2 linked regions of the Sus scrofa genome follow. The main gene of each other region encodes a partner of the protein of the gene in region 2 in a complex. Links are inferred from orthologs where the notes say so. Each region holds a gene or a part of one and is shown on either strand. Other genes may lie near its edges. The genes, in order: IZUMO1R and IZUMO1.

Region 1 (14,535 bases), on a different chromosome or scaffold from region 2:
TCACCACTGCTGCTGTCTGCCTCCTTCTGCAGACTCTGAGCAAGCTCACTCGCAGGACTCTGGAGGCTGGTTTTAGAACATGAGTGCCCTGCCTGGAATGGGCTTGGGCTTTGCACAGTGAATGAGCACAACGCTCAAGGCAAGCGTGGGAGGGGTGGAGGTGGTGTTTAATTGATGAGCAGAGCTGGCTGGCATCTGTCAAGAATACCTAACTGTTGGTTGGCTTTTCTAACTCAACGGCAGATATATTTGAAGCCTCTCTTGTCAAAGCAAAGGTTGTGAGGGGGCGCCATTTATACTGGGAAGCTGCTGGCTGCAGGCTCCAGAAGGTTCTGAGCCGGCACATCCACTCACTGAGGGAACGTGAAAGCCCCCTTGGTGTCCCTTCTCTGATTCAGCTCTGCCTCTTCCCTCCCGGGTTCTAGGACGCATGCCCAAGAAGCACAGGCTGTATCCCAGCAGAGGGGCTTTAGGACGCATGCTCAAGAAGCACAGGCTGTATCCCAGCAGACGGTGGCACTGCCTTTTTCTTTTTGTAAGTTAAAAATCATCTGGTTCCAACTTTCTCATTCCTCTCGGTGGGGAGAGAAACCATGACGGTCTTAAATGAAGGTCAAGGGACTTGCTAAAAGTCATACGGAAAGTGGTAAAGACATTAGAACTTTGGCTTCCAGAACTTTCACACCAGCATGCTGTGATTCTGAGGTTGAGAAGAAGAGGGAAAGTGGAAACACCTGAGCTGCTGCTTCCATCTTGGGATCCAAAATAGAGCTGAGGGAAACCAGTGGCCCTATGGTCGCCCTGGCTTTGGGTCTTTTGCACCGTGTGTCACTTGCTGAAGAACAGCAGGTGTTGAAAGTACTCTTATCAGAGAGGCGTCCTGAGGATATCGAGGGGGCCTGGCCCGTGTGGAGAAGTCATCGTTAGCAAAGTGACAACCCACTTGGAGACTTTAGTGCCAGCAGGCACACCGGCCCCTGCTTGATGCAGCCCAACCCCGCACCACAGAGCCAGGACCGAGCCCGTCAGAAAGCCTGGAAAGGCCGACTGCTGTTTTTTCAGAGGCACCATCGTGGGGCAGGAGTCCCGGGCTGTCACCCTCAGCTCTGCCGGGCACACGGGGGTGGACGTGCACTGAATGAGACACTGCCTGGGTGGGTGACTATTGGTTGGCTTTTCTAACTGGACAGCAGCCGAACTCGAAGCCTCTCTTCCTCAAGGCAAAGGTTGTGAGGAGACATTGTGTATGCTGGGAAGCTGCTGGCTCCAGAAGGTTCTGCGTGGGCGTGTCCACTGCCGGTCCACTTACCAAAGGACCATGAAAGTCCCATGGGAATGTGGAGTCCCATGTCACAGCCCCCCAGCCTTAGGGCAGCAGGGGTAGCCACCTTTGCCTTCCCAGCTGCCATCCCAGCTGCCATCCAGGCCAGAAAGGCAGAGCGGAGCAGAACGGAACCTGCGAGGCTCAGGCACCAGCTCCTGCGGCCTCAGCATCCCACCCACCCGCACCCTGTGCTGCTCATGTGTGGAGGGAGGCGGGCTCTCAGGAGAGGAGGGACAGGGACAGAGCGAAGGCCATGAGCCTGTAGGAGAGCGCCCAGGACGGGGCAGGGCTGGCGAAGAGGCGGGCCACAGCCGCGTTGGGGTTGATCCGGGTGGGCTCGAACCACTTTTGCAGACACCGCCCGCTGTCCCGGCGCTCCGGGCTCGCCTTGAAGGAGTGGCTCCAGATCTTCTCGCACAGGTCGGCGGGGGTGGGGAAGTAATGCGGGAAAGGGTGGCAGAGGGCCCTCGCCGGGCAGCGGTGCTTCCCTAACAGGGATAGAGGCACGCGACACCCGCTCTGGTCCTGGCATCCCCATCATTTGCCCGGGGCGGGGTGTGTGGGGTGTGTGTGTGTGTGGGGGAAGCAGAGCAGCTTGCACCCGCCCGTGGGTGGGGACCCCTCCCGGGTGGGGACCCCTCCCTGCCTCTGTCAAGCACCACTCACCCCGACTCCAGGTCCAGCCTCCGAGCCAGTTGGATTTGCAGGTGTAGGATGTGCGGCAGTCAGCCCACCACTCCTCACAGTCCTCCTGGCAGAGGGGCGCGTCCAGAATCCGCTCTGCCTGCCCGTGCGGGTCCGTCTGGGTGCAGAGTAGCAAGAGGCGAGAATTGGAAAAGCAGTAATTTGATGAATATTAATAGCTGCCGTGGTACTTGGGTCAGGGACCCTCTGAACATAAGTCTCTTAGAAAGTCACTAAATGTTACTTTACAAATGAGAACGACGAGGCGAGTTAAACAGTTTGTGCCCAGCTCTGTTCCTACAAAGAGAAGATACTGCAGCTGAAAGGTGGCCTCTGTACACCAGCACCAATTAAAGCTCCAAGACAGAGTTCGGGATGAACTAGAAAGACCAGCTTTATTGCTTTGCCAGCAAAGGAGGCCACAGTAGGCTCACACCACAAAATTCTCCTCGCTTGAGAGGGGATAGCGAGGGGTTTTACAGGTTTAGCTCGGAAGACAGGGTTATTGATTAAGGGGTCTGCGTTATTCTTCCTCCATAGATCATTTTAAAGTCATCAAGTCTGGTGTCAACTGGTCCGGGGATGGTTTCTGGTTGTCATCGGGGTTGTTGTTCCTTGACCTTTTCTCTGGAAAGAAGATTGCTTACAGGGAAGCAGTGTTAGGGAGTGGGTTTTTTTGTTTTGTTTTGTTTTGTTTGTCTTTTTTTTTGGTTTGTCTTTTGAGGGCCGCACCTGTGGCATACAGAGGTTCCCAGGCTAGGGGTTCAGTTGGAGCTGTAGCTGCTGGCCTACACCACAGCCACAGCAACGGGGGGCCCAAGCTGCATCTGCGACCTACACCACAGCTCACCGCAACACTGGATCCTTAACCCACTGAGCGAGGCCAGGGATTGAACCTGCAACCTCATGATTCCAGGATTCGTTTCTGCTGTGCCATGACGGGAACTCCAGGGAGCATTTTAATTACAAAAGAAAACGTTAGATGCAATATAACTCTAAAAAGTAACCATTAGTAAAAGAAAGCAATTAAGCAAGGAAGAAATCATTTGTGGAAAACCTGGTTAGAGTGAGTTAGTGGCCAAGGTAGGGCATAACATCATGGAGTCTGTTTTAACTCATTTTCAGCTGTATCACTATTTTCTAATCCTTAACTCTTGAGTCAGCCTTTTGAGACAGAGGGGAGGCCTGGGAGGCTAAAGAAAAAGCTTTTCCCTTCGAAACACAAGGACTTAGGGGCTGGTACACGGTTTTAACACATCTCAAATAATCCCTGCATCCCACTGTTCTCAAGACACCATCCTGCCCATTGCATCTTCCAGGGCCCGAGGTGATGGGACCCTGATGGCCGCGACTTCTGCCTCCCCAGCCTGCCCCTCGCACCTGCTGGATCCAAGGCCCCAGGTTGGGGGAGCACTCGTAGAAGCAGATGGCCTGGAGGAAGTGCTTCTGGCAGCCCGGCATCATCAATCCGCAGTGGACCAAGCTGAAGTTGTAGAGCAGGGCCACGTCCAGGTGGGCCTCCCAGCTGGTGTCAGCCGTGCAGCAGGCATTGTGCTTCCAGGGGATACACTGATGTGGACGAAGAAGCAAAAGGCATGGGCGGTAGGGGCAGGGGCCTGAGGAGTGTCTGGGCCAGAACATTATAATCCCCCTTGAGGAGAGCCCGGGCAGCGGGGAAGTGGCAGGAGGAATTGCCGATAATTTGTTGACATTCACACCCAAAGGGCGCCTGCACGCTGGCTTCCTTGCTGCAGCCTAGGAGTCCCCTAGAACAGGGCTGCCAGGGTCTTAGCTGATGAGGGACAGCTGGGGAACCCCACGGGACCCAGGGGACCATAGGGTTACCCAGAGGGAGGGCACCTGCTAGCTCTGTTCCTCCTCCCTCATCCCTGTCAATTGTCTTTGGGAACTTGGTGGGGGTGGGGGGGGTGGTCCCTTAAGTCTCATGTTTCCTCCTGCCCGGGCCTGTGTGTTTGCTTATTTTGGTCATGCCCTGGCATGCAGAAGTTCTTAGGCCAGTGATCGAACCTTGCCACAACAGTCACCAGAGCCACAGAAGTGACAAGGCTGTATTCTTGGATCCTTAACCTGCTGAGCCACCAGGGAACTCCTCCCCAGGGCCGGTTGGTGGGAGGGCAGAGGAGGTGAAACTTGCGTGTTAGAATCTAGGCTGAACATCAACGGGCTTCCAGGATCGCCCTCTGCCCCTGCTCCCTAAGTGGCTCAGGGATGGAAACTTTTTTTTTTTTTTAATTATTATTATTATTTTTTGTCTTTTTGCTATTTCTTTGGGCCGCTTCCGCGGCATATGGAGGTTCCCAGGCTAGGGGTCGAATCGGAGCTGTAGCCACCGGCCTACGCCAGAGCCACAGCAACGCAGGATCCAAGCCGCGTCTGCAACCTACACGACAGCTCACGGCAACGCCGGATCGTTAACCCACTGAGCAAGGGCAGGGACCAAACCCGCAACCTCTTGGTTCCTAGTCAGATTCGTTAACCACTGTGCCACGACGGGAACTCCAGGGATGGAAACTTTTTAAGTTTTATCAAGGTATAGTTGATTTACAATGCTGTGTCAATTTCTGCTGTATAGCAAAGTAGCCCAGTCATATATGTATACATACCTTATTTTTTATATTCTTTTCCACTATGTTCCATCCCAGGAGATTGGAGAGAGTTCCCTGTGCTGAACAGTGGGACCCTGTTGCCTGCTCATTCTAAATGTTACAGTTTGCATCCACTAGCCCCCAACTCCCAATCAGAGATGGAAACTTTGGATCACTCAGGAATTTTGGTCTCAAAAGATCATAGCCCCCCTCCAGTGGCCTTTGCCCAAATCCCAGCTTAGGGAACAAACGAGTCAGGGTGGATGCGGATTGAGAAACCATCTTGGCCTTTGTGGCCCTTCCCTGATCTGCAGGGGCCCCCACCTGACCCACCCGCCACACCAGGTCCGTCCTCCGTACCTCCTCATAGAGTTTGTCCTCCGGGCTGGGCTCTGGCTTGTGGGGCTTGGCGTTCATGCAGATGTTGAGCAGCTCAGGCCCGGCCCACGTGGGCAGGACCGCCCACAGCCCCAGCAGGAGCTGCCGCCACCACCCCATGGCCTGCCTCGAAGAAGCCCCACCTGTGATGGGAGGACATTGCATTCCACTCCATTGCCCCTGGGAAGCAAGCATGGGCTTCAAGCCCCCCTCATGCAACTGTGAGGCAGCATCACATAAAATGGCCGTGAAGGCTGACAGCCCCAACAACCTACGGACGTAGAACCTGAGGCCAGCCCCAAATGAGTGGGGGTTGGGGGTCGAATGATTCTAGCTTTTCCTGGGGGAACTTTCTCTGGCTCTTCTAACTCAGTGGCATAAGGGCTGGGAATTCAGAGCTTCGAGCCTGGATGAGTAACTAAATACTCAGTAACCAGATTCTCCATGAGGTTAAGAGCACATAGGGGGTTGGGTAGCATGACAAATGCAATCCTTCCTCCATAGAGTGCCAACCCTAACTAACCTTAACCCTAACTCTGGTCCTTCGGAGGGGGTCCACACAGGACCTACAGTTCTTCAGGCAACTGGCCCCCTCCCAAGGTCCCTCTGGGCAGAGTCCTGTCGCCTAGAGCAGCAGTCTGACTCCACTAGCCTCATGCCATCTCAAACCCAGCCTGAGCATGAGGCTGGGGCAGCCAGGAGCCCAGCAGCTCTACTGGCCTCTCAGAGCCAAGGCGTGAGCCACCCACATCTTCTGCATCCAAAACCAGATCCACATTACAAGAACGAGGAGGCCAGCTCTGTTCTGGGTAGTTCTCATTATACGAGAGAGAAACAAACAGAAAGGGCAGAAGCACACATCCTGCCTCCAACAGCCCATCTCTTGGAACCAGAGGCACCCCCCAGCCTTCACCCACCCAGAAGCCCAGGCTCCAGGCTTCTCAGGAACCAGCCCGTGGACCCAACACAGTGAAACCCCAAACCTCTGGCCCAGCTCACATTTAGAGTCTCAAACATCGGGGGTGGAGACCCCGGCTCCCTTTCTGAGCCCACCCTCAAGTCCAAATCCAAGGCTGCTTTCTTGCCTCAGCACCAGTTGCAAGCACAGACATGGCCCTGGAGTGAATCAATTGCATCAGGTGAACAGAGGAGAGATGCCTCCCCTTCTAGCGCTTTCTTCATACTCACTTTCAAAGCAGGAGCCCCACTCTCCTGCCTCCGGAGATTATGAGGCTGAGGAGCCATCTCAGCCTATTTATTACCCTCTCAGGTTCCTGCTGAGCCAAATGCGGATGCAGAGCTCCAGGTGCCTCCCATTAAACAGCATCCATCCTACCCACGTGCAGGGGCCTCCTGTGGGTGGAGCCAGGATGGTTTCACTTTCCCACAGGAGGCAAGATCCTAGGCTCTTTAGTTCGTGCCTCAGTTGTTTTTTTTTTTCTTTCCAGAGGCATGGGGAAGTGTCCCCCCGCCGCCCCCGCCCCGGGATCAAACCCAAGCCGCAGCAGGGACGATGCTGGATCCCTAACCAGTCAGCTATGGAGTTCTGCTCTCAGCTCTGCTGCCTGCTGGCTGGACCACCTTGAGAAAACCCCTTAAACGCTCTGAGTGTCAGTTTCCTGATCTGTAGAAAGGGCTGCTATAGGGGGATTGTTGGGGAAAAGAAACGAACGAGAAAGTTCCTGCAAAGGACTTGGCATCGAGCCTGGCAGAGTAAGTCTAAATGGTTTTTATTCTTAGCTTTTTATCCTATGAAGCTTTTCTCTCTCAGCCCGGTTCCAGAGCTTTCCCTGCCCCTTCAGCAGCTCGGTCACCTGAGATGGACCCCACCTGGGCTGTAATGGTGACTGCGTCCTCTCACAGCCCACGGGAGCTAGGCTTCCTGCTGGGTCCAGGCCTTGGCGGCCAGGGATGCAAGAATTTAAATGTATGCCCAAAGCCAAAGCAAACAAAACTGAAAAAAAATCCCTCCAAGCCTGGGAGACAGGCTTCCTGAGAGAGCAGGGACCGCTGTCCAGCGAGAGATTCTGCAACTGCCCTCAGCCATGGTGAAGTTCACGGGCGCATCCTCCTCAGCTGAGGAGAGGCAGGAAACGTGGCCAGGCTCTTAGGAGAGTCCCCAAGATGATGAAAACTCTGGAAAAGGAGCCCATTTCTTGGCCTGCCTCCTAACAAGTTCCCTCTCTGAAGGAGAGGTCGTCAAAGTCACTGGCGTCTTATCGACACACAGGAAGTTGAAACATGACAATGAAAGCATTTTTAATTGAAGCAAAGAAAGCAGGCTGTTTAGCTACACAGGTGATGTGCAGACGGGAATTAACCATCGAGCTGGAAAATGCTATCCTCCACGCCTGGGTTGTCGCCGTCACTGCGTTCTGAGCTCCGTGAAGGACCTGGGCACCGGGCTGGGCCTTCTGTTTGCGGTTTGGCTTACTCCTCACAACGACCCTCCTCTGGTGAGCATCCTTCCCATGTTACCTGTGAGGAAACCGAGACTCAGCTGGGGAGTGGGCAGATCCAGGATCTGAACTCAGGTAAGCATGACCCCATACCTGGTGCGTGAGGACCCGGTGGGGGGGAGATCTCCAGGGCTGAAAGGGGAGGTGCTGCCTGTGGGTCAAGTCTGTTTAAAAACCAAAAAGAAAAAACATGCCCTAATCAGATTGTGTGTTGGGCGTCACGTGTGGGCTTTATCTGAGAACAGCGATGATTGATGTCTAGCCTCTCGTGCTAAACAGAGTCAGGGGTCTCTTCCTGTTTAGGGTCTGGTACCAAAGAGCCCACGTCTCTCCCTGCAGCATCCCAGGGCAGGGGAAAAGCAGGTCTGGTTCAAGTGCATGTCTGGTTCAAGGCATCATGAATATTCAGGAGGCCCCAAGGTCTGATGAGGTGGGAGAGCTGGGGTTTAACGTTAAGCGCCCGGTGGCTGTGGATGTGGCAGGGACAGGAATCCGGCAGTGAAGCACAACACTAATGACTGAAATGGGGAGACAAGTCCTTGGGTAAATGTCTTTTACGCGGAGGGAGGGAGGGAAGTGGAGGAGGCACGGCTGGTGGGCCCTGGGGAGAGGCTGTGGGAAATGAGCAGGAAGGATAGGGCAGGTGCTGGGGGGCAGAGTGGGGCGGGGTGGGGGCAGGGGGCTGCAGAGCAGCCTCAGAGCAGGCTGACCTCTGCACCCCCAGAAAGGGGGTCTGCAGCCCTTGAGGAAAACGCGTTTCTGCCCTACCATGATTGAGTCTTCCAGCGAGATCTGTTTGCTGACGGATAGCTGATAAACCAAAGCTGCCTGTGGAGGAAGCCATTTGAAATGGCTGATCGCCAACAATTTTGTTCTTAAACAAAACAGAACAGTTAAATAGCCAAGAGCAGAGCTAGAGCAGCATCCAGAGGGTTCTGAGGGGGAGGCAGACAGCAGCGAAGGAGCAGCTCCGCCTCTGGTTTGGGACCACGGCCGGAGGTGGCCAGTGCTAATTCTCTTCTCCCGACTCTCCCGGTCACCCAAGGTGCTGGAGTTCCAGAACAGACTAAGAAAGCAAAGAGCTAGTGCCCTTCCTGGTCCTCTCACAGCCTCCGTCAGGATCCCACACTTTCCTGGCACTGTCTGCCGACTTTCGTGTTTGCTAATAGACCAAAGCCCCTGGACCAGTGGAGATTGTGTCTTGTCAGTTTCACAGCTGTGACTGCTGAGCCTGGTACATGGCAGGCACTTCGTAGGTATTTGTAAAATGAACAAGTGCTTTTCTTTGGTTAAAAAAAAAAATCACCCCCCCCCAAAAAAACCCCAGCAACTTCTCTCCTATGATTCATTTTCACAAAGAAGCATGCCAGGAAAAATCCTGGGACGCCTCGGTGTTGTAGATAGTCACAGGTATAAGTGGCATGTGTGTGTGATGTGCAGGCTTTCAGATGCTCACCCTTTTAAAAAATTTGTTGTTTTACCCTCATTCACCTCTCACTTCTGACTAGATAACTTGTACCCACAGGCCTCAGCTGGCTCATGGTCCTGACTCCCCACAACTCTGTTAGCCATGCAGCTTCCCAGATGTGATCGGTGAACTGTTTTTCTCTCCGGCATAATTTCTCTTAGTACACAATTTCACGTTTAAAGAATGAAATTGGATTAGTTTCTATTTTTATGGATTCAAGAAAACAAATATGCATTTTTCTAGATATGTTTTAGTTTATGTCTTTATCTTCGCTTACATTAAAGATGTCTTGTGAAATGCACAGATGGGTTGGAAGGTCCATAATGTGTTTTGTGGCTTATAGAAAGAAATCAGTGGAAAGGAAATAGCTTTAAGGTGACAAATGTGTGACTCTTTGTACCCTTGTGCCTATGAATGAAATGCTAGAGAGGGGGGGAGATCAAGTTTCTAAAAACCAATGGGAAAACTGCCTCAGGTGATGCCATGATTAAGCAGTTGTCGTTTCTAGAAAAGTGAACTTTGTGATTCTTCAGTGAACACTTCCTATACCAACATGATATCACATTATGTGAAGCTGTCGAATGTTTTGTTTGCTTAAGACTTAGTTCTCTGGATAATGGTAATTTTTGCGAATATTCAATGACTCCAGTTTACAAAACTAGATTTTTAATTTGCTAAGTGGCTCCTCATACTTGAGTTGATGATTCTGTTTTTTGATCAAAGCTTGTGGAATGTCTGGTTGCCATGGATACTGGGGCTTAAGAGGCGCCATTGAGTCATCTTACTGTATTGTCCTCAAAGCACTTCACCCATCTGCAGAAATGTAGAAATTCTCTTAGTTCCTCCACATTGCCCAGCATGGTGGTTTCTTTGGATCTGGAAGAAGTTTTCAGGGGCTGTTTCTCTTGCGGGATGCATGGTCCCTTTGGGTGAGATGAAGAGACACAAGCCACCACTGTGATGATTCTGAGAACTGTGCCTTCCCCCATTCCAGGAGGAAGGAGAAGTCAAGGTTTCTCAGGAATGACTGATCCAGGCCCTGTGCCAAACTCTTGGGAGACCTCATCTCATTGCCTTGTCTGCTGGTCAAGGGCACAGGTTGAGTCTAGTGCCATACTATATACGACATAGTGTATATTGATTGGTACAAATGATTGCTGAAGAGTGAGCACTTCACCCTGCATAAGTATTTAACCTGTTGTACAGATGATCTCAGAGAGGTTAAATGAGTTGCTCAAGGTCTTATCTCCTTATCATCTGTCATAAGATGTATTAGGAATGGTTAATTTTGTATTGCTAGATTTAAGTGGCAGGATGTCAGAGGAGAAGACTTAACATCTCTGGGAAATGGATTAGCATATTTTTGGTTGTACACAGGATAGTTGTATCATGCGGAAGTAGGACACTGATATCTTTACTTGGAGATTAAGTATGATTTAAGACATGTATCAGTGCCAAGTTGACAAGAGTAAACTGTGGTGGTCAGTTTTCTATGTCAGCTTGTCTAGGTTATTGGCCTCTTTGATTCCCTCAAACACTAACATAGGTGCTGTTACAAAGGGAGTTTGTAGAATTTTCAAGCCCATAATCAGTGGTCAGTGATGAACACAGATTTGAGTCTAGGTCTATCTAACTTCTAAGTCTGTGCTCTTCTGTTTTACATTAACCAGATAAAAAAAGTCTACTGAGGAGTTCCCGTCGTGGCTCAGTGGTTAACGAATCCGACTAAGAACCATGAGGTTGCGGGTTCGATCCCTGGCCTTGCTCAGTGGGTTAAGGATCTGGCGCTGCCATGAGCTGTGGTGTAGGTTTCAGACACGGCTTGGATCCCGCGTTGCTGTGGCTCTGGTGTAGGCCGGAGGCTACAGCTCCGATTGGACCCCTAGCCTGGGAACCTCCATATGCCGCGGAAGCGGCCAAAGAAATGGCAAAAAAAAAAAAAAAAAAAAGACACACACAAAAAAAGTCTACTGAATTATTTCTTGGCACTTAAATCTTATAATAAAATCTGCAGAGTATTCAAGACCTGCCACGCGGCAGGACTGAGCTAAATGCGTCACTCAGGTGATCACATAAGAGTCCTAAATGCTGATCATGACGAAAGGGGGGTGCAGAAAATCTCTGTATTATGGGGAACTCCCCCTTTTTGTTAAACAGCTGCACCTGCTGCACATGGACGTTTCTGGGCTAAAGGTCAAATTGGGGCTGCAGCTGCCAGCCTACACCACAGCCACGTCAACACCAGGTCTGAGCCACATCTGCAACCTATGCTGCAACTTGCAACAATGCCAGATCCATAAGTCACTGAGAAAGGCCAAGGATCGAGCTGGCATTCTCGCAGAGATAGCATTTGGTCCTTAATCTGCTGAGCCACAGTGGGAACTCCCCAATTAACTCCCATCCACATCATTCCCTAAAGGATGTTCCCTGAAGCTCTAGTCTCCAAAATGAGTGATTATTTTCATGACCAAAGAGGTGGAGACATAGTCAAGCTCTCAGCACCTCCTGAGGACTCAGTGTACACGCTGAATGAGTTACAGCCTCTGAGGGGTCCTGCAGTCAAGACATTTCTTGAACTCCATTTAACGCAGCATTTCCACAGCACCCCTCGTGTATATTAAGGTCATTAATAGCAGAGCATGGGTGTTCTGCCAATCGCACGTAGGGAAATGCTGGCCTGCCACATGGCACTAGACCTCAGTTTCACAGCAACAACAGTGGGAAAGAGGCTTAGACCATTTTAAGCTCCTGGGTCATACATGTTATTTAGATAATGCTTCACAAATATTTATAGCACCTGTTTGTGAAAGGTTTTATGTGGGCTGAATTTCTGTTCAGAGAAGCTTCATTTTTCCCACGGGCTACATGTCCAAATTCCAGTGTAAGGCACTTCTTGCATTTTTGGTTTAGAAAACCTCTAAATTCTTTTTTTCATTTTTTTTTTCTGGCGTGCCATTTTTATTTTATCATTTCTTTTTTGTATATATTTTTAGTGAGAGTTTTTTTTTTTTAATTATTTATTTATTTATTTATTTAGTCTTTTTGCTATTTCTTGGGCCGCTCCCGCGGCATGTGGAGGTTCCCAGGCTAGGGGTCCAATCGGAGCTGTAGTCTCTGGCCTACGCCAGAGCCACAGCAACGCGGGGTCCGAGCCGCGTCTGCGACCTACACCACAGCTCACGGCAACACCGGATTGTTAACCCACTGAGCAAGGGCAGACCGAACCCGCAACCTCATGGTTTCTAGTCGGATTCGTTAACCACTGCGCCACGACGGGAACTCCAATTTTTTTGTATATATTTTTAGTTATCGTCTTAGTGGTTATCCTGGGGATTATAAATTAACATCTAAATTTCTGACAATCTAATTTGAATTGATACAATCTTCACTTTTTTAAATTTTTTTTAATTTTTTAAATTTTTTGTTTTTTATTTTTTTGTCTTTTTTTTTTTTTTTTTCAGTTATTTCTTGGGCCGCTCCCGCGGCATATGGAGGTTCCCAGGCTAGGGGTCTCATCAGAGCTGTAGCCACCGGCCTACACCAGAGCCACAGCAACGCGGGATCCGAGCCGCGTCTGCAACCTACACCACAGCTCACAGCAACGCCGGATCGTTAACCCACTGAGCAAGGGCAGGGACCGAACCTGCGACCTCATGGGTCCTAGTCGGATTCGTTAACCACTGCGCCACGACGGGAACTCCACAATCTTCACTTTAAGGGAATATAAAAACTCTGTTCCTGTCCAGTGACACAGACCCCATAATTTGTGTTATTTGTCATAAAGTACATCCTTATACATTGTGTGTCTGCTAACATAAATTTACCATTATTACTTTATATACTTATGCTTTAAGTCATATAGGAATAGAGGTGTTACAAGCAAAAAATACAACAATACCATTTTTATCTTTACTTATGTAGTTACCTTTACTGATGTTCTTTATTTCTTCATAGGGTTTTGAGTTACTGCCTCATGTCCTTTCATCTCATTCTGAAAGCCTCCTTCTTCTAGGGTAGGTCTACTAGCAATAAGCTCCTTTAGCTTTTGTTTATCTGAGAAAGGCTTAATTTCTCTCTCAATTTTTACGAGATATAGAATTCTTGGTTGATAGGTTTTTTGTTTTTGTTTGGCCTCTTAGCACTTTAAATCGGTCACCCCATTACCCTCTGGTCTCCGTGGGTTTTGATGAGAAATTATTACTGAGGCTCCGTGTACATAACTAGTTGCTTCTCTTTTTCTGTTTTCAAGATTATCTTTGTCTTTCAGCAGTTTGATCACAGTGTTTCTTAGTCAGATGTCTTTGAATTTATCCTGCGTAGGATCACCTCAGGTCTTTTCTAAGAATGTATTAAGACAGGTGTGTGCCTGGCCCTCTGTATTCCCTGGTGCACCTGGGAGCTCTTCAAAGCCTTTATTCCTTATGCATCTTCCTCCTCAGCCGCCTTCTTCCCAGGATTTTTGGCCTGTCTGCTACTTGTCTTATTCCCCATCCCTTGCACGAGGTGGAAGTCAGCAGTATAATGCCATTAGGTACTTTTTGACAAATGCTTCCAGGAGGTCATTCCAGCCCTGAGAAAATTCCAAAGGGGCAAAACAAAGGCAAGCCTCTGAGCCAGTCTCTCAGGGAGCTACCAGGCAGGTCCAAATGTACAGCACAGTTCTTTGATAACAAGGTCTGAATTGCTCACTCTGGTACCAGAAAGCCGTACCATCAGGAGCATGAGCCTCCATCACCATAGCTGCTGGTCGAGCTAGGGAGTGTGGGGTGGTAGCTGGGTAAGCAAAAACACCATACATTCTGTTATTAAAACCTAGCAGCCTCTTCATTAAGCACTCCCCTAGTGGTTTTAATTCCTAAAAAATTTTAATTGCATTCATGATTCTGCCAGCTTTGCCAGCTTAATATTTTCTTCAGTGGAAAAATGGATCCTTGGAGCTCTCTACTCCACCATTTTTGGTGAAACCAGTCCTCCAATTTCTTTTAAAATTTAGATTCTATGATTTCTTGCATTATCAAGGCCTTGAGGTCCATGAGAAAGTTCAGAGAAAACTGTTAATTTTAGACCATGTTCATCTTTTCATCCTCTTTTGATAATGGCTATTATTAATGCCACCTTTAATGCTGCCTCATAGTCTAACAAGTAGATATACTGTAATTTAGCCAATCATGCTAATATTGACCGTTTAGTTCTTTCAAATGCTTTTATTATTATAAATAAAACCATCGTAAGCATTATTTTGTTTAAGTCTTTGGATTTTGAGGATTCCTCGAAGTGAAACTATCAGGTCTGTACTGTTTGAATCACGATATAAAAACCTTCCGCACAGTGAGTATTAACATTTTAAAACCTTTGCTGGTACGATACTAAACATGTAGATGTAAATAATTTTTCATGTTTGATGTAGTAATTCTTTCTAGTACTTATAATGGGTTTTTTTTTTTTGGTTTGTTTTTTTGTTTTTGCTTTTTTTTTTTTCTGTTGCACCTGTGGCATGCAGAACTTCCTGGAGCGGGGATCAAACTAGAACCATGGCAGTAACCTGAGCCACAGCAGTGACAATGTTAGATCCTTAAGCCACTGAACCACCAGGGGACTCCATTGTCTTTTTATTTA
Region 2 (14,554 bases):
ATGAGGACGTGGGTTCGATCCCTGGCCTGGCTCAGTGGGTCAGGGACCCAGCGTGGCCATGAGCTGCGGTGTAGGTCGCAGACGCGGCTCAGATCGGGCGTGGCTGCGGCTGCGGCGGAGGCCGGCAGCCGCAGCTCCGATTGGACCTTTAGCCTGGGAACCTCCGTCCGCCGCGGGTGCAGCCGTAAAAAAAAAATCTCTGGAGAGTCAAGTGCAATTCCAGCGTCTTTGCTTTGTAGAATGACAATGGTCCGACCGCCCGGGCTAGGGTGGGTGCGGAGCGGCCTTGGGCAAGGAAACTGCTTCGGGTCTGCCGAAGGGCACGGCCTTTGTTCCAGAAGCCGGCTGCAGCCCGGGCCTCTGCGGGAGGGGCAGGAGAGATCCACTTCCACCTCGGCTCTCGCCGTTCCCGCCCTGGGAAGAGGCTGCGGCCTCCGAGACGTGCGCGTCTAGAAAGTGGATTCCGCCGGAAGGAGAAGCCGGGAACCCGGACATTTTGCGGGCGGAGGGGGTCGATCGGCGGCCCCGGTGCGCCAGACGCGCTCACGCCGGACCCGGAGAGCTGGGGAAGGCCTCGCATCCGCTTGCGGAGGAGCCTGGCGAACAGGTTCTGCTGCCCCCGGGGAGGACTCGGCAGGGGGGCGGGGGGCCGCGCACGACGCCTGGACCGGGTGTCCCCCGCGTCCCCGGCGTCCCTACCCAAGCCGCTGGGGCGTGGCGGCACTCGGCGCATCCAGGTACAAGGGCGGGTGGCGAACCAAGAAACTGGAAGGGAAGAGGGAGAGGTTGATGGACCGGAACATCTGGGTCCAGCGCTGCATCTGGCCGCTGGATCTCCGCGGCCGCGGAGGGATGTGGCTGCTGGGCAGCCAGGTGGGCGCTGCCCCGGGCTGGCCAGTGCCGGGGAGGAGGGGGCTGGGGCGCGGGTCTCGGGGTCCCGGGAGGGCAGGAGGTGGGCGCTGCCACCCTAGGGGGCGGAGCCGGGGCTGGGCGCCAGGGAAGGGGTGGGGCTCCGCCTCCGACTCTCGGCCTGGAGGGGCGGAGGCTGAGAGCCACCCGACCGCGCCCCTTCTCCTACCTCAGCTTCCCGAACCTTTGCAGCCAGTCGGGGGAGGCGGCGTGGAGGGGGAGGGCTGTGGGGCCTGGGAACCTGGAGTTCCGGGGGCCGCCGGATGCGGGCTGCACTTATGACTGGGAATCTGCCACCCGCCAGGAGCTCAGGTAAGTGGGAGATGCGGATGCCTCGGACCCAGGAGCCGGGCCTTCAGTACCAGGAGGCGCACCCCCAACCCCTAACCCCCTGCTACCCGCAGGTGTCTCCTGCGCCCCGACCCCCAACTCCTGCTCCTCCAGGAGTCCACAGCTCCCATCCAGACGTGGGCCTGGGGCTTCTCGCTCTCTACCCGACCTGTTGCTTGCTGTCACCTCCATAGTGGACTCTGCCCCGCCCACGCAGGTCCTTGAGAAAGGAGGTGGGGGGACGTGTTCAAGGTCAGTGGCCCTTACAGCCCGCGGGACGGAGATTCCAAGATGTGGGGACCAGGCGGTGGGTCCCGCCCGTGGCATCGCTAACTTTGGAAACCACTCGTTTTCACCATCTCCCACCCCCGAAATTCTGAGCCCCCAACACCTGCTAACTCAAACCCCAGAGCCCGGCTCCCTTTTTCCGACGGACCCAGGAGTTCAAAGCCAGAGTTTCCTCATGCCCACAGGCCTCTCCTCCCTGCCGCTCAGCCTCCAGCCCCGAGGATCTGCTAATTTCACTTTTCCTCCCTGCAGCCATGTGGGTCCCCAGCCGCCGCCACCTCTGTCTGACCTTCCTGCTAGTCTGTGTTTTAGCAGCAATTTTCTTCCTGAACGTCTATCAAGACCTCTTTTACAGTGGCTTAGACCTGCTGGCCCTGTGTCCAGACCATAACGTGGTATCATCTCCCGTGGCCATATTCTGCCTGGCGGGCACGCCGGTACACCCCAACGCCTCCGATTCCTGTCCCAAGCATCCTGCCTCCTTTCCGGGACCTGGACTATTTACCCGGATGGCCGGTTTGGGAACCAGATGGGACAGTATGCCACGCTGCTGGCCCTGACGCAGCTCAACGGCCGCCAGGCCTTCATCCAGCCTGCCATGCACGCCGTCCTGGCCCCCGTGTTCCGCATCACGCTGCCTGTCCTGGCGCCCGAGGTAGACAGGCACGCTCCTTGGCGGGAGCTGGAGCTTCACGACTGGATGTCCGAGGATTATGCCCACTTAAAGGAGCCCTGGCTGAAGCTCACCGGCTTCCCCTGCTCCTGGACCTTCTTCCACCACCTCCGGGAGCAGATCCGCAGCGAGTTCACCCTGCACGACCACCTTCGGCAAGAGGCCCAGGGGGTACTGAGTCAGTTCCGTCTACCCCGCACAGGGGACCGCCCCAGCACCTTCGTGGGGGTCCACGTGCGCCGCGGGGACTATCTGCGTGTGATGCCCAAGCGCTGGAAGGGGGTGGTGGGTGATGGCGCTTACCTCCAGCAGGCTATGGACTGGTTCCGGGCCCGATACGAAGCCCCCGTCTTTGTGGTCACCAGCAACGGCATGGAGTGGTGCCGGAAGAACATCGACACCTCCCGGGGGGACGTGATCTTTGCTGGCGATGGGCGGGAGGCCGCGCCCGCCAGGGACTTTGCGCTGCTGGTGCAGTGCAACCACACCATCATGACCATTGGCACCTTCGGCTTCTGGGCCGCCTACCTGGCTGGTGGAGATACCATCTACTTGGCTAACTTCACCCTGCCCACTTCCAGCTTCCTGAAGATCTTTAAACCCGAGGCTGCCTTCCTGCCCGAGTGGGTGGGCATTAATGCAGACTTGTCTCCACTCCAGATGTTGGCTGGGCCTTGAACCAGCCAGGAGCCTTTCTGGAATAGCCTCGGTCAACCCAGGGCCAGCGTTATGGGTCTCCGGAAGCCCCAGTAACTTCCGGAGATGCTGGTGGTCCTGTAGCAGCTGGACACTTATTTCAAGAGTGATTCTAATTGGCTGGACTCAGAGGAAACCCTGCAGAGGGGCTTGCTGCAAGGGTGGAACATTCTAGAACCAGTGGAAGAGCTTTTCATGATGGCTGGCAATGTCTGGAGACGCTTAATGCCATTCTAGACCTCGCATTGCCCACCTGTTCTTCCCAGCCCGTGTCCAGAGTACTTCTAGAGGGCTGTCTGCCCCCTTCCCCAGGGAACTCCTTGCTCCAGTGTTGACTGTCTAGAAGAGATATTTCTCCTCCCCCTGGGGTGTCAGAACTGAAGGACCTCTTGGAGGTTGTGGGGCAAGCACTCACCAACCCCCCACCTCTGTTTCTCCAAGGGCTCTGGGGGAAGGTTTGCTCTAGAGAGGGTCAGTGGTAGGGTCTGTAAAGAACCCTTCTGGCCCCTTCCAGAGGGGAGGGGATTCTGGAATTCTCGATAACCTCCGCCAAGAAGCCGATGAGGGTACAACCAGAAGCTCACCACCTCACCACTGCTAGAAAGGTTGATGGAAGACAAACTACCTGTGTAGCTGGGGTGGTTTGGGAGCAGGGCGGAACTTTCCCCAACCTTCCATCCCCCAGAAAACCACAAACCATAGATATACTAAAATATGGGAGGAGGAGGAAAAGGATGGCTGCTGAATGGTGCAGGTTATGGAGCAAGGCTCTGCAGAAATCTAGGGACAACTTTTTTTTTTTTTTTTTTAAGCCCCCAAACTGCCAACGGTAGGTAGATGTGCATATGTTGGCTCTGAGTTCATTTCCTCTCCCACTGAAGGATATTTCCTCCTTGGCAGCTGGGCTGCTGAGGCTGATGGGGTCGATTTACCAAACGCCACTTGGCATAAGGGTGCCCATTGCAGAGACCCGCCCATATCGTGCCTCTTGCTAACCCCTATCTGCCCCGAATCCACACGACCATGAAATCTGGCTTTGAACAAGCCAGGAATGGAAGGCTCTGAAGGTATGTAGCCCATGGCCTGGCCTCCAACCCAGGCAGGAGCACAGGGTCTGGCCAAAGAGGATGGGACATTTGACTCAGGTTTTAGGATCCTCCTGATGCGTTTTGAAGGGAGTGAAGGCAGATGCTTTTATGATAGAGTTGTCTGAGAATCTAAGCCCTGTTCTAGTCTTCTCAGGGAATTTGTGGGCACCGGTCCCTACTCAGTTGCCCTTGGTGGGAGAGAGGGAAGTATGAATTAAAAGTCCACATCACCAACCCGCCTCTGCAGGTTTTTGGAGTTCTGTGTACACGTGTGTGTGTGTGTGTGTGTGTGTGTGTGTGTGTGTGTGTAAGGAGAAGTAAAGGTATGGAGCTTCTGCAGACTCGCATGACTCATGTCTTGGGAGACTGTTCCTGCTCTTTTGTTGCTGCAGTTGTGTGGGTTGTGGTCTCAGAACCTCAATTCTTTTCTTCCAGACTCTCAGTATTGGCCCCCAGACCTCTTTTTCCTCTGGGACCTTGGCATCCAGCCCCAGACGATGGAGGAGGGAGGGAGGGTGCAAAGCTTATAATTCTTGAACTACATTTCCCATAAAGCTATGTGATTGGCTGCGGTAATCTACTAGGGAGAGACCCTGGCGCCTTCTGGGAGTCGTAGTCCTAGAACTAGAAAGGGCCGCTCCCCGCGTTTTCGAGGCCCGACGACTGGGTTCCCCAAAAGCCGTGGGCTTCTGGTCAAAAAGCCTGGGTCTTGGGGCCCAGAGGGGGAGGAGACTGATGGCTAGAAGCCTTTTCCTTGGCTCTAGAGCCGACAGGGTACCTGGCCTTCGGTGATGCTCGGAAAGTTCTAGTCGGCAAAGGCTGCCGCCTCTGTGACATCATGGAGGTCTAGGCGGGGCATCCTTATGTTGCGGTCCAATCAGACAGAGTCGAACTTCTGGGCAGGGCGGAGGAAACCCTAGGGAATATCTCTTGGGAATTTGGGGCTCCACGTGGGTAGCTAGAAGGCGGATGCTGCGGGAGGTCCTAGTAGTAAGGAGCGAACCGTGACTGTGACCCGCAACAAAAGCTCTCTATACCACGCAGCCCACCTCACCCTCGCCCCCAACAAAGTTCTTAATTTTGGTCTTGGGAAAATATTAGCGTGGAAGGACCGGCCTGCTTCTCCCACCTAAAAGCCCTCAGAACCTAGACTCTTTAGCGAACCCTAGCGTTCGAGGGCATCCCTGTTAGGAGTCAAGGTCGGGAAGCGGCTGGCTGTTTAGAGTGCTTCAGGACTCCTCGGTTTCCTAATGAGAAGGGTGCTCCCTGCCAACTGGGGCTTCATTAGTCTCGGAGAAGGGCTTCTCTCCGTTTAGCGTTCACCTCCTCGGTTTAGGGTAAGAGGTCCTCCCCGCGAGTTCCGCGCGGACTGCGAGCTCTGGCCGCAATGGAGCCGCAGCGGCTTTCGCTCCTGGTGGCAGCGTTGGCCGGCTGCCTGCTTCCTGCCCGGGGCTGTGTCATATGTGACCCAAAAGTCGTGGAGGAGCTGAGCTCCTTGGAAACAAATTACCTGCCTGGCCACCTGGAGGCCAAACATCACAAAGACGTGATGAAAAGGGTAAAGCAGGCGGTGAAGGATTTCCAGGATTTGCCGATTGATGAGGATTCCTACATGGGGGTCGTTGGTGAGGGCAGAGTGCAACTCCTGGGTCCCGGGGAAGGAGAGGTCTGGGGTTAGCATTGCTAGGAGGTACCAGGGAGAAAGGGCTGGAGGCAGAGTTTCCTGGGTTTGGGAGTGGAGAGGGCTGGGATGCAGAGTTCGGGGTTCCCCAAGGGCTGGCAAATACTGTTCCTCTTACCCCTTATCCTGCAATTTTATGTGATAAGACTACAATTCCCAGAAGGCAACGGGGTGTAAAAGCCCTTTTACTAGGCCTATCCTTGCCCATTGGCCCCATGGGTATTGTAGTTTCTAAGACGAGGCGCGCCAATGAGACAGTAAGGCTTGGAATCTGAGGTTCTAATTTCCCCACAGATGAGGCCACTCTGGAAAAGGCATCCTGGAGCTTGCTGAAGGATCTGAAACGCATCACGGACAGTGACGTAAAAGGTAAATGCGCAGAGGGGGCAGGAGAGCGCTTCTAGAAACTCTCAGGGAAGTGATTGCTGGTGACACCTGGTCTGGTGATCAGGTACTAGATTCTGGAGCCAGACTGCTGAGGTTCAAGTTCTGGCTCTGCTGTTTCCTAACCATGTGGCCTTGAGCAGGGACTGTCACAGCTTGAATTCCCTTGTGGCACAGCCAGCGGGTTAAGTATCTAGTATTGTCACTGCATGGCCCAGGTCGCTGCTGGCCCGGGAATGTCCACATGCTGCGCTGCAGGGGTGGCCAAAATAAAATAACACGAAGGAATTGCACAGCTTCGTTATCTCTGAAATGGAGCCCATAACAGACCCTTCATCCCAGTCGGTGCTTTGCCCCGTGGCCAGCATCATGTTAAGTGGTCGTTAAATTTTACTGCCCTTCCCTAAAAAGACCCCCAAACTGACCGCCAGTTCTGCCAACTTGACAAAGGCCAGGTAGCTGTACCGCACACCCGGGGGGAGCAGGAGGGTGGGGGCGGGGACTTCTCTGCGTCATCCTGCTTCTTCCCAGGTGAGCTCTTCGTGGATGAGCTGTTCTGGACGTTGCGCCTGGCAAAGGATACCTTCGCCAGCTATGCTGCTCAGTTTCAAAAAGAGGGTGAGTGTAGATGGGAGTCGGGAACCCCAGATTTCTCCTTCCACAGTCTAAGAGTCCCTGTCCCCAGCCTTCTGCTTCTCCGCCACGGATCCCTCAGCTCTCCCAACCCCCTTCTCCCTCAGACCCAGGGGGTACAGGCATCCAGGTCCTTCCTCCTCCCCATTCCGAAGGCCCAGCCCTCACCTGTTCCGCATCCCCTCTCTCATGCCCTTTAACTTCGAAATCTGATTCTTATTTTTTTCCCCTTTCTTCCGAGACAGTTTTTTGTCCCAACAAATGTGGTGAGTCCGGATTATGGGACCTGGTCCTCTATCCCTCATCCCTGCCCCGTGAATATACTTTTGGGTCCATGCAATCTTTCGTTCTCTGCCCCCAGAGGTTCCTGGGTCTCCAGTATTCCTCCGCACTTCTTGGGAAGTGGGTCCTAATCTGCTGGCACTCTTCTGAGCCTGGTTCAGGGGGCTGTGTTCTAGCCCCGCCCCTCTCCGGCTGACCTCCTAGGGATTCGGCTCTTGACCTTGCCCCAGCCCTTGGCCCTGCCCTCTCCTTTTAGCCCCGCCTCCTAGTGAGAGAATACAACCTCGATCCTGCCCCCTCAGGTTTGATGTTGCAGCCTCTGATCTGGTGCAGTACCTGCCAGAAGCAGGTTCACTCTTGTCGAAAGTCCCGGAGTTGTGGAGGTGAGCCCTGGACCCAGCAGGTGGGACTAGCGCAAGAGGGGTGGAGCCGGAGGAGGGACCGAGTCTAAAGAGGGTGGAGACTGGAGCCAGCCAACTGGAAACAGCGGGGCTGATGTCAAGTGGAAGGGTTGGGAGAGGGCCGAGAACCGCGAAAGAGCATCCCACAGTAACTCCCCATTCCCAGAGCGCAAAGTCAAGGTCCATCAAATGGAAGATATGATCCTGGATTGTGAGCTCAACTGGCATAAAGTCTCTCAAGGCCTGACGGATTACAGCTTTTACAGGGTGAGGTCCTCCAACTCCTGTTAACCCTTGAAGTCCAAGGCCATCAGGCTTGTATGAGCCCCCCGGTCCCTGTACCCACAGGCCTGCACCCACCATGCCCATGACCCATGACCTACCAAGTTTGGCTTCTTCTGCTCCCCTGGGACCCTAGGCCCTGATCAGGACACCTTGGACTCCCACCTCACCACTGAAGCCCCGTGATCTTCTCACCCCTATACTCCCCCAACCCCTGAATTCCCCAGGCCTCTGTGACCCCTTGAGCTTGGGTCTAGGTTTGGAAGAACAACTCTGAGACCTTGATGGCCAAGGGGCAAGAGCCCACCCTGACCAAGACCATGGTGAGTCCGAAGGATGCAGGCACATATCGCTGCGAGCTGGGTACTGTACAATCCACTCCAGCCACCATCATCCATTTTCATGTCACAGGTCAGTGCTGGGTTGTTGAGAGACGTGGGATTCAGATGGTCCCTAGGTTGGGGGGGTCGGGGGGGTGGAACTCCAGCTCCAGGGGCGTGGCCTGCTCCCGGGGCGTGGCCTGTGGGCATAACTTTCTATCGGCCTGTGGTTTCAGGTCCCAAAGGTGTGGCTTCCTGGCCTGAGTGTGGCCTCTGGCCACAGGGCCAGGGCCCCCCCCACTGGGTGTGTTCGGACTTCACGCAACTGGGGGTGTGATTTTTGTCCCGCGGGGCCTGGTCGGGTTGCCATGAGGAGAGCTTGCCTGGGCCTTGGCGGGACCTTGATGCCCCCCCAGGACTGCTGCTTGCCCCTCCTCTCTCAGTATTGCCCAAAAGAATCGTGGAGGAGACACCGTCACCAAACACCGAAACCCAGGATGAGACGGCTCCGGGTGAGGTGACTTTGGATCGTCCCCAGACGTCCGCAACCCTCCAATCACAGTCTCCAGGGCCCGAGAAAGTGCTGAGACACCGCCTGGTAGGGCTGCTCATCGGGGCCATCGTGGTGCTGATAGCCGGCGTCGTGACCGCGTGAGCCGCCCCCTGAAGAAGGCGGGGCCTGGAGTGAGGGGCGGGGTTTCCAAGTCCCTAAGGCAGGAAGGCTCTGAGAGCCCACGATCGCCGAGAGCTGGCCTTCCTCCGGGAGCGGGGCTTACCTAGGAGGGCGAAGCTTGGCTAAATGCTAGAATGAGATCAAGCACCGGGGAGGCTGGGAAGCGGTGTTCCTCACTCAGTTGGGACCTAACCTCTTTCCGCTATTTGCACCCCCGCCAGGATACTTTTCTCTCAGTCTGGGAAAGTGATGAATTTCCTAAAGGCCTCCCCGCTCAGCCCTGGCAAAGGCACTGCTTAGGACTCCGGGTTTCGAAGGAAAAGAGGAAAACATTAGGGAGAAAATAAAGATTAATGTAGCTGTCTAAGTATCTGACGCACTCCTCCGGACGGATTCTAACCTGGTTCCCTTAGAGACGTCTGGGGACTCTCTCCCGACTGAGGGAGGAGGGGCTGGAGACCTGGCCCCCTGGGTCCTGGAAGGGGCCCACTGGCTGCGATGTGATTCCAGAATCAAGGAGTGGGGCAGGGCCAGCCCTCCCCAGATCTCCTCCCCCAGGCCTGGTCCCCTCACAGGACGCCCCCTCCCCGCTCTTCCTGCCGGTTTCCTCTGCCTTTTCCTGTCCCCCACCCAGTGCTGGGAGCTGGGGCCGAGGCAGAGGCTGAACAGGAGCAGCGGGGTCAGGAACCATCCAGGGCAAGAGGAGCCAGGGGCCCCGGGTGCTGCCGGGACCCGAAACAGGGTAAGAGCCTGGGATCCCAGGGTCCAGACCCCTCCTCCTTCAGACCCAGGTGTGGGTCCCCATCCCAGCCACCCGGGGCCCCATTCCTCTCTCCCACCCAGCCCCCTCCTCCCTCTGACTTAGGAGGCCTGGTCCCCCTCCACCCCCACCTCTAGCTCTTCAAGCCTCGTGAGTGGGGGCCTTACCCGCTCTCCCTTAGGGCCATGCTATCTGGTGAGCGGAAGGAGGGCGGAAGCCCCCGCTTCGGGAAGCTCCATCTCCCGGTGGGCCTGTGGATCAATTCTCCCAGGAAGCAGCTGGCCAAGCTGGGGCGGCGCTGGCCCAGCGCTGCCTCTGTCAAGTAGTGCCCACCTCTGCCCGACTCCTGCCCCACCTCACCTGCCTCCGGTCTCGCCCTGTTTGGGACTCGGTCCCTCCACTGGAAAATGCCCGGGACCCCGAAAGGGTTGGCTCCAGTTCCTGTCCTGAAGGGGCAAGTGAGCTGGCAGTAGGGGACAGTTGGCCCCAGTGATACAGGGCCTGATGGGGCCAGTGTGGGTCCTGGAGGTGGGCTTAGGCCGGGTGGACACGGGGACGGGGGACCGGGACACAGAAGGAGCAGCAGCTTGATTCACCTTCCTTCCTCCCGTGCCTGCTCACCTCTTGGAATTTCCTTCTGTGGGACTTGCCTTTATTTATTTATTTATTTATTTATTTATTTATTTTCTCTCTCTCCCCCCCTCCCCCTCTGGCCTCTGTGCCCCCCATTTCTATATACCCCGCATCTCTTGCCCTTCTGTGGGTGTCTGTCCCCCACTCGCTCTGGGACTCTGCTCCCCCATCTGTGTCTTTGCCCCCCTCCTTCGTTCTCTAATCCCCCACCCTGTCTCTGCGTGTCTTCTGGGGTCTCTCTCTCCCCCGTCTCTGCTCCCCGGCGGGCCGCCAGGTCTTCGTCTTCAGACACGGGGAGCCGAAGCAGCGAGCCGTTGCCCCCGCCGCCGCCGCACGTGGAGCTGCGGCGAGTGGGCGCGGTCAAGGCGGCCGGGGGAGCCTCGGGGAGCCGCGCCAAGCGCATCTCTCAGCTCTTTCGGGGCTCGGGGACCGGCACCACGGGGTCCGGCGGCGCGGGAGGTCCCGGGACTCCGGGGGCAGCTCAGCGCTGGGCCAGCGAGAAGAAGCTGCCGGAGTTGGCGGCGGGCGTGGCCCCCGAGCCGCCACTGGCCGCCCGCGCCACGGCGCCCCCGGGGGTCCTCAAGATCTTCGGCGCCGGGCTGGCTTCGGGCGCCAACTACAAGAGCGTCCTGGCCACGGCGCGCTCCACGGCGCGCGAGCTGGTGGCCGAGGCGCTGGAGCGCTACGGGCTGGCCGGCAGCCCCGGCAGCGGCCCCGGCGAGAGCAGCTGCGTGGACGCTTTCGCGCTGTGCGACGCGCTGGGCCGGCCCGGGGCGGGCGCGGTGGGCAGCGGTGAGTGGCGGGCGGAGCACCTGCGAGTGCTGGGCGACTCCGAGCGCCCGCTGCTGGTGCAGGAGCTGTGGCGGGCGCGGCCCGGCTGGGCGCGGCGTTTCGAGCTGCGCGGCCGCGAGGAGGCGCGCCGCCTGGAGCAGGAGCCTTCGGGGCGGCGGACGGCGATGGTGAGTTGGCGGCGCGGACGCTGGAAGGCGGGGCCAGCGGAGAGGGATGGGCGGGGGCTTGGGGGGGCGGGGCCAGAGAAGCTGGTGGGACCGGACGGCGGGCTGGGGGCGGGGCCCGCGAGAGGGGTCTGGGTGGGGCCGATACAGCCCTGGGTCTAGGGGAAGACGAAACTGGGACGGGACTCGGGTCAGCCAGGTGGGCTAGGCCGGAGGTCGTTGCCCTTGGGATAGGTGCAGCGTCGCTGCGCAGGGCCTGCGATACTGGGGCGGGGCCGCGGAATGGAGTAATGGGGAGGAAGAGATACAGGGCGGAGCAGGTGAGTGGTCCTGATGTCGGGAGGCCTGTCAGTAGTAGTAGGTTGAATTGGTTTGTGAGGGGCAGTGCCTTTGTGGATGGAGGCTAGAAGGGGCACGGGCCTGGAAAGTGGGAACATGGGCTGGTAGATCAGAGCCTAAGAATGGGAAGAGTCTCGGAGGAGTGGGTCTTGGAACGAGTGGCCTTAGACTGGGTTGGCTGCAAAGCTTGAGTGGGGGCTTGAGGGTGGTGCATGGGAAATGAAGAGGTATTGGTACTGGCCAAGAATCGGCTACCTGGGGGCCTGGTCTTTGAGAAGGCCTGGGCCGGAATGGGAGCACAGGTGCACTGGTGGTAAAATAGCAAAGGTGAGGCAGAGCCTGGCAGGGGTGGGGCCTGGCTCACAAGGGTGGCGCCTGCTCAGGGAGCCTTCTCACTGCTTTTCTGTTCCTGAGCCTTCCTTTGTGAGACAGAGTGGTGTCGCAGTTACACTCACAGGCTTCGAAGTCAGGGTTGGATTCCAACCCATTCTTTGCCAGTTAAATACAGCCAAATCCTAGGTGATTCAAGGAGATAGTGCAAATAAAGGGTTTTTAGCACAGGGCTTGACACATAGTAATTGTTAAATAAAGAACGGCAGGGAGTTTCCATCCTGGCTCAGCGGGTTAAGAACCTGACTAGGATCCATGAGGATGCAGGGTCGATCCCTGGTCTCGCTCAGTGGGTTAAGGATCCAGCATTGCTGCAAGCTGCAGTGTAGGTTGCCACAGACATGGCTTGGATCTGGCTGTGGCTGTGGTGTACGCTGATTCGACCCCTAGCCTGGGAATATCCATATGCCTTGAGTGTGGCCTTAAAAAGAAAAAGAAGAAGAAGAAAAAAAAGCAGTTATAACCATCATTGTTTTTTTTTCCTTTTTTTCCCAAAGAGCATTCATGAAATGCTTACTATGGGTCACATAGGATTTAGGGTCCTGGGGGACTACAATGGGGACATTGACAGATGAAGTTCCTGCCTTCCTAGATTTCACAGCCCAGTAAGAAATACATCAGTTCACTCGTTCATTTCCACTGGGCACCTACTGGGTGACAGGGCTGTGCTGGGCCCAGGCAGCATTCAGAGTGCCCAGTGGTGCCCTTCTCTGCTTCAACTTGGAAGGTCAGGGAAGGGTGTTCAGGAGGAGGTGGTTCCTATTTCCCTGTGGGGAGGATCTTCTCGGGTTCACTGCAAAGTCCCTAGTGCCTAGAACAGTGCCCAGGACATAGGAGTTGTTCAGAAAATACTGAGGAGTTCTCGTATGGCTCAATAGGCTAAGGATTCGGCATGGGCACTGCAGCGGCCTGGGTGGCTGTTGTGGCGCGTGTTCGATCCCTAGCCTGGGAACTTTTGCATGCTGCGGGAGCAGCCAAAAACAAAAACAAAAAACCTAACAACGAATTGGAAGAATGAATGAATTTATGAGCTGAAACTGCAAGATGGGTAAGAGTCAGGCAAGAAGTATGTTCCAGGCGCAGGGAACAGCATATGCAAAAAACGAAATGTGGGAAGCATCCTCACAGCCAGTTGGCTATCATCTCCAGCTGAGCCTCCTCTGTCTCAGTCTCATCCATCACTCCCCGTCTCTCTCCGTAGGCACCGGCGCCCCCTCGTGGCGGCCACAGAAGAACCGCTCCCGGGCAGCGTCTGGTGGGGCGGCTCTGGCCAGCCCTAGCCCGGGGTCCGGGTCAGGGCCCCCGGCTGGGTCCGGGGGCAAGGAGCGCTCGGAAAACCTGTCCCTGCGGCGCAGCGTATCGGAGCTCAGTCTGCAGGGTCGGCGGAGGCGGCAGCAGGAGCGCAGGCAGCAGGCCCTTAGCATGGCCCCAGGCGCAGCCGACGCCCAAATCGGACCAGTAGACCCCGGCGACTTTGACCAATTGACCCAGTGCCTCATCCAGGCCCCGAGCAACCGCCCCTACTTCCTGCTACTGCAAGGCTACCAAGACGCCCAGGTAGGCACATCCTCTTCTACCGGGAGAGTCCTATGCCGCATCCTCAGGTTGAAGGGCGACAAAACTACAACTCCCAGAATTCCGTGGGTCGTGTTAGTCTTCGGTATGCCGGAAAGTACGGTCCCAGCCAGGTCCCAGGGGAGGAGATACTGTCAGAGAAGAGAGTGGGGGAGGTGGAGATGGCTGAGAGGGATTTCACTGGAGGGACAAGTAGGCGATGATTTATTTCGTTCAAAGTTGGGGGAAAGCACTGTCTTCCTCCAGGAAGAATGCGAGAGCGTATTTTAGAAAGATCTTGGAAGCCTCTATTTCTTGGGGTAGGGTAATGGAAGACTATCTTCTGGCGGAAGGGAGAAATTTGATTAATGCCTGGAATCTTTTCTGGGTAAGCCTATATTCTCTTGGGAGGAGAGGACTAAATCATTTGTAAAAGTTGATGGGTTTCATTCAAACGATTTCACCATCGTTGATGGGGGCAGGTGGCACTTATCGTTTACGTATTTGGGTGGCAATAGGAGAATTTGAATGTCGGGGGCAGAGGAGGAGAAAGGATTAGCAGTTGGAAGTTATTTCATTGATAGTGATGTAATATTGGAAATATTTGTGCGGGGGTGTGGGGAGGAGAGAGAGAAAGAGAGAGAAAGAGGGAGAGGGAGGGAGGGGAAGTGAGGAGTATCCTTAAGGAGTTATGGTGTTGTCCACTTTTGGGTAAAAATGGTACAGCCAAGCTCAACAGGTAGCACTGGAATCAATGGGAAAGCCCACTCTGGAAGGTGGCGGAGTTTATTGAACACTTCCATTTTTACTCTCAGAGAAGGATCCAACTGGATGAGGTGACTTGGCTGCATATATGGGTGAGAGGTTAAAACTATTCAAAGAGCTTTCACTGAAGGAATTCATTGTCCTTGTTGGGGCAAGGGTTCAGGGTAAGCTCATTGTAGAATAGTGATCATATTTATTACAACAGCCCATTCCTCCAGACACAGTTGGAGAATAAGAGGCTTTATTTTGGAAAGGTGGTCAAACTGGAAGGATCTATTCTAGGAGCATAAGGGAGGTTTTTTTGTTTTTGTTTTTGTCTTTTTGCTTTTTCTGGGGCTGCTCCCACGGCATATGGAGGTTCCCAGGCTAGGGGTCCAATTGGAGCTGTAGCTGCTGGCCTATACCACAGCCACAGCAATGTCAGATCCAAGCCGCGTCTGTGACCCACACCACAGCTCACGGCAACACCAGATCCTTAACCCACTGAGCAAGGCCAGGGATCGAACCTGCATCCTCA

Evidence for each region.
Region 1: the proteins of IZUMO1 (region 2) and IZUMO1R are in contact, whole or in part, in a crystal structure (PDB 5JKC), measured with the Homo sapiens proteins. The link is inferred for Sus scrofa from reciprocal best matches to the Homo sapiens genes IZUMO1 and IZUMO1R. Residues at the interface, in NP_872381.2 of Homo sapiens: Met75, Val77, Tyr134, Val141, Leu146, Trp148, Lys150, Asn151, Lys153, Glu155, Val156, His157, Ala158, Arg160, Lys161, Ser162, Tyr163, Asn239, Ser240, Ser241, Pro242, Ile245; in NP_001186135.1 of Homo sapiens: Lys42, Tyr44, Glu45, Ile48, Leu58, Trp62, His65, Leu66, Asp67, Gly80, Leu81, Leu82, Met83, Pro84, Gly85, Arg87, Ile91, Met145, Ser146, Tyr147, Gln171.

Annotation. Positions count from the first base shown.
Region 1 is NC_010451.4:26,507,869-26,522,403, reverse strand, and holds IZUMO1R (sperm-egg fusion protein Juno), read right to left. Parts: upstream 6,314-14,535; 5' UTR 6,181-6,313; intron 5,136-6,180; 5' UTR 5,113-5,135; coding exon 4,975-5,112; intron 3,578-4,974; coding exon 3,370-3,577; intron 2,129-3,369; coding exon 1,991-2,128; intron 1,813-1,990; coding exon 1,544-1,812; 3' UTR 1,455-1,543; downstream 1-1,454. UniProt on the Homo sapiens protein: Receptor for IZUMO1 present at the cell surface of oocytes (oolemma), which is essential for species-specific gamete recognition and fertilization.
Region 2 is NC_010448.4:54,067,093-54,081,646, reverse strand, and holds IZUMO1 (izumo sperm-egg fusion protein 1), read left to right. Parts: upstream 1-5,327; 5' UTR 5,328-5,371; coding exon 5,372-5,609; intron 5,610-5,959; coding exon 5,960-6,034; intron 6,035-6,580; coding exon 6,581-6,667; intron 6,668-6,927; coding exon 6,928-6,948; intron 6,949-7,266; coding exon 7,267-7,347; intron 7,348-7,531; coding exon 7,532-7,632; intron 7,633-7,904; coding exon 7,905-8,058; intron 8,059-8,410; coding exon 8,411-8,618; intron 8,619-8,861; coding exon 8,862-8,940; coding exon of another isoform or gene 8,941-8,987; 3' UTR 8,988-9,040; downstream 9,041-14,554. Other genes in the region: uncharacterized protein LOC110261360, read left to right, coding at 240-607, 1,084-1,221, 1,314-1,464. UniProt on the Homo sapiens protein: Essential sperm cell-surface protein required for fertilization by acting as a ligand for IZUMO1R/JUNO receptor on egg.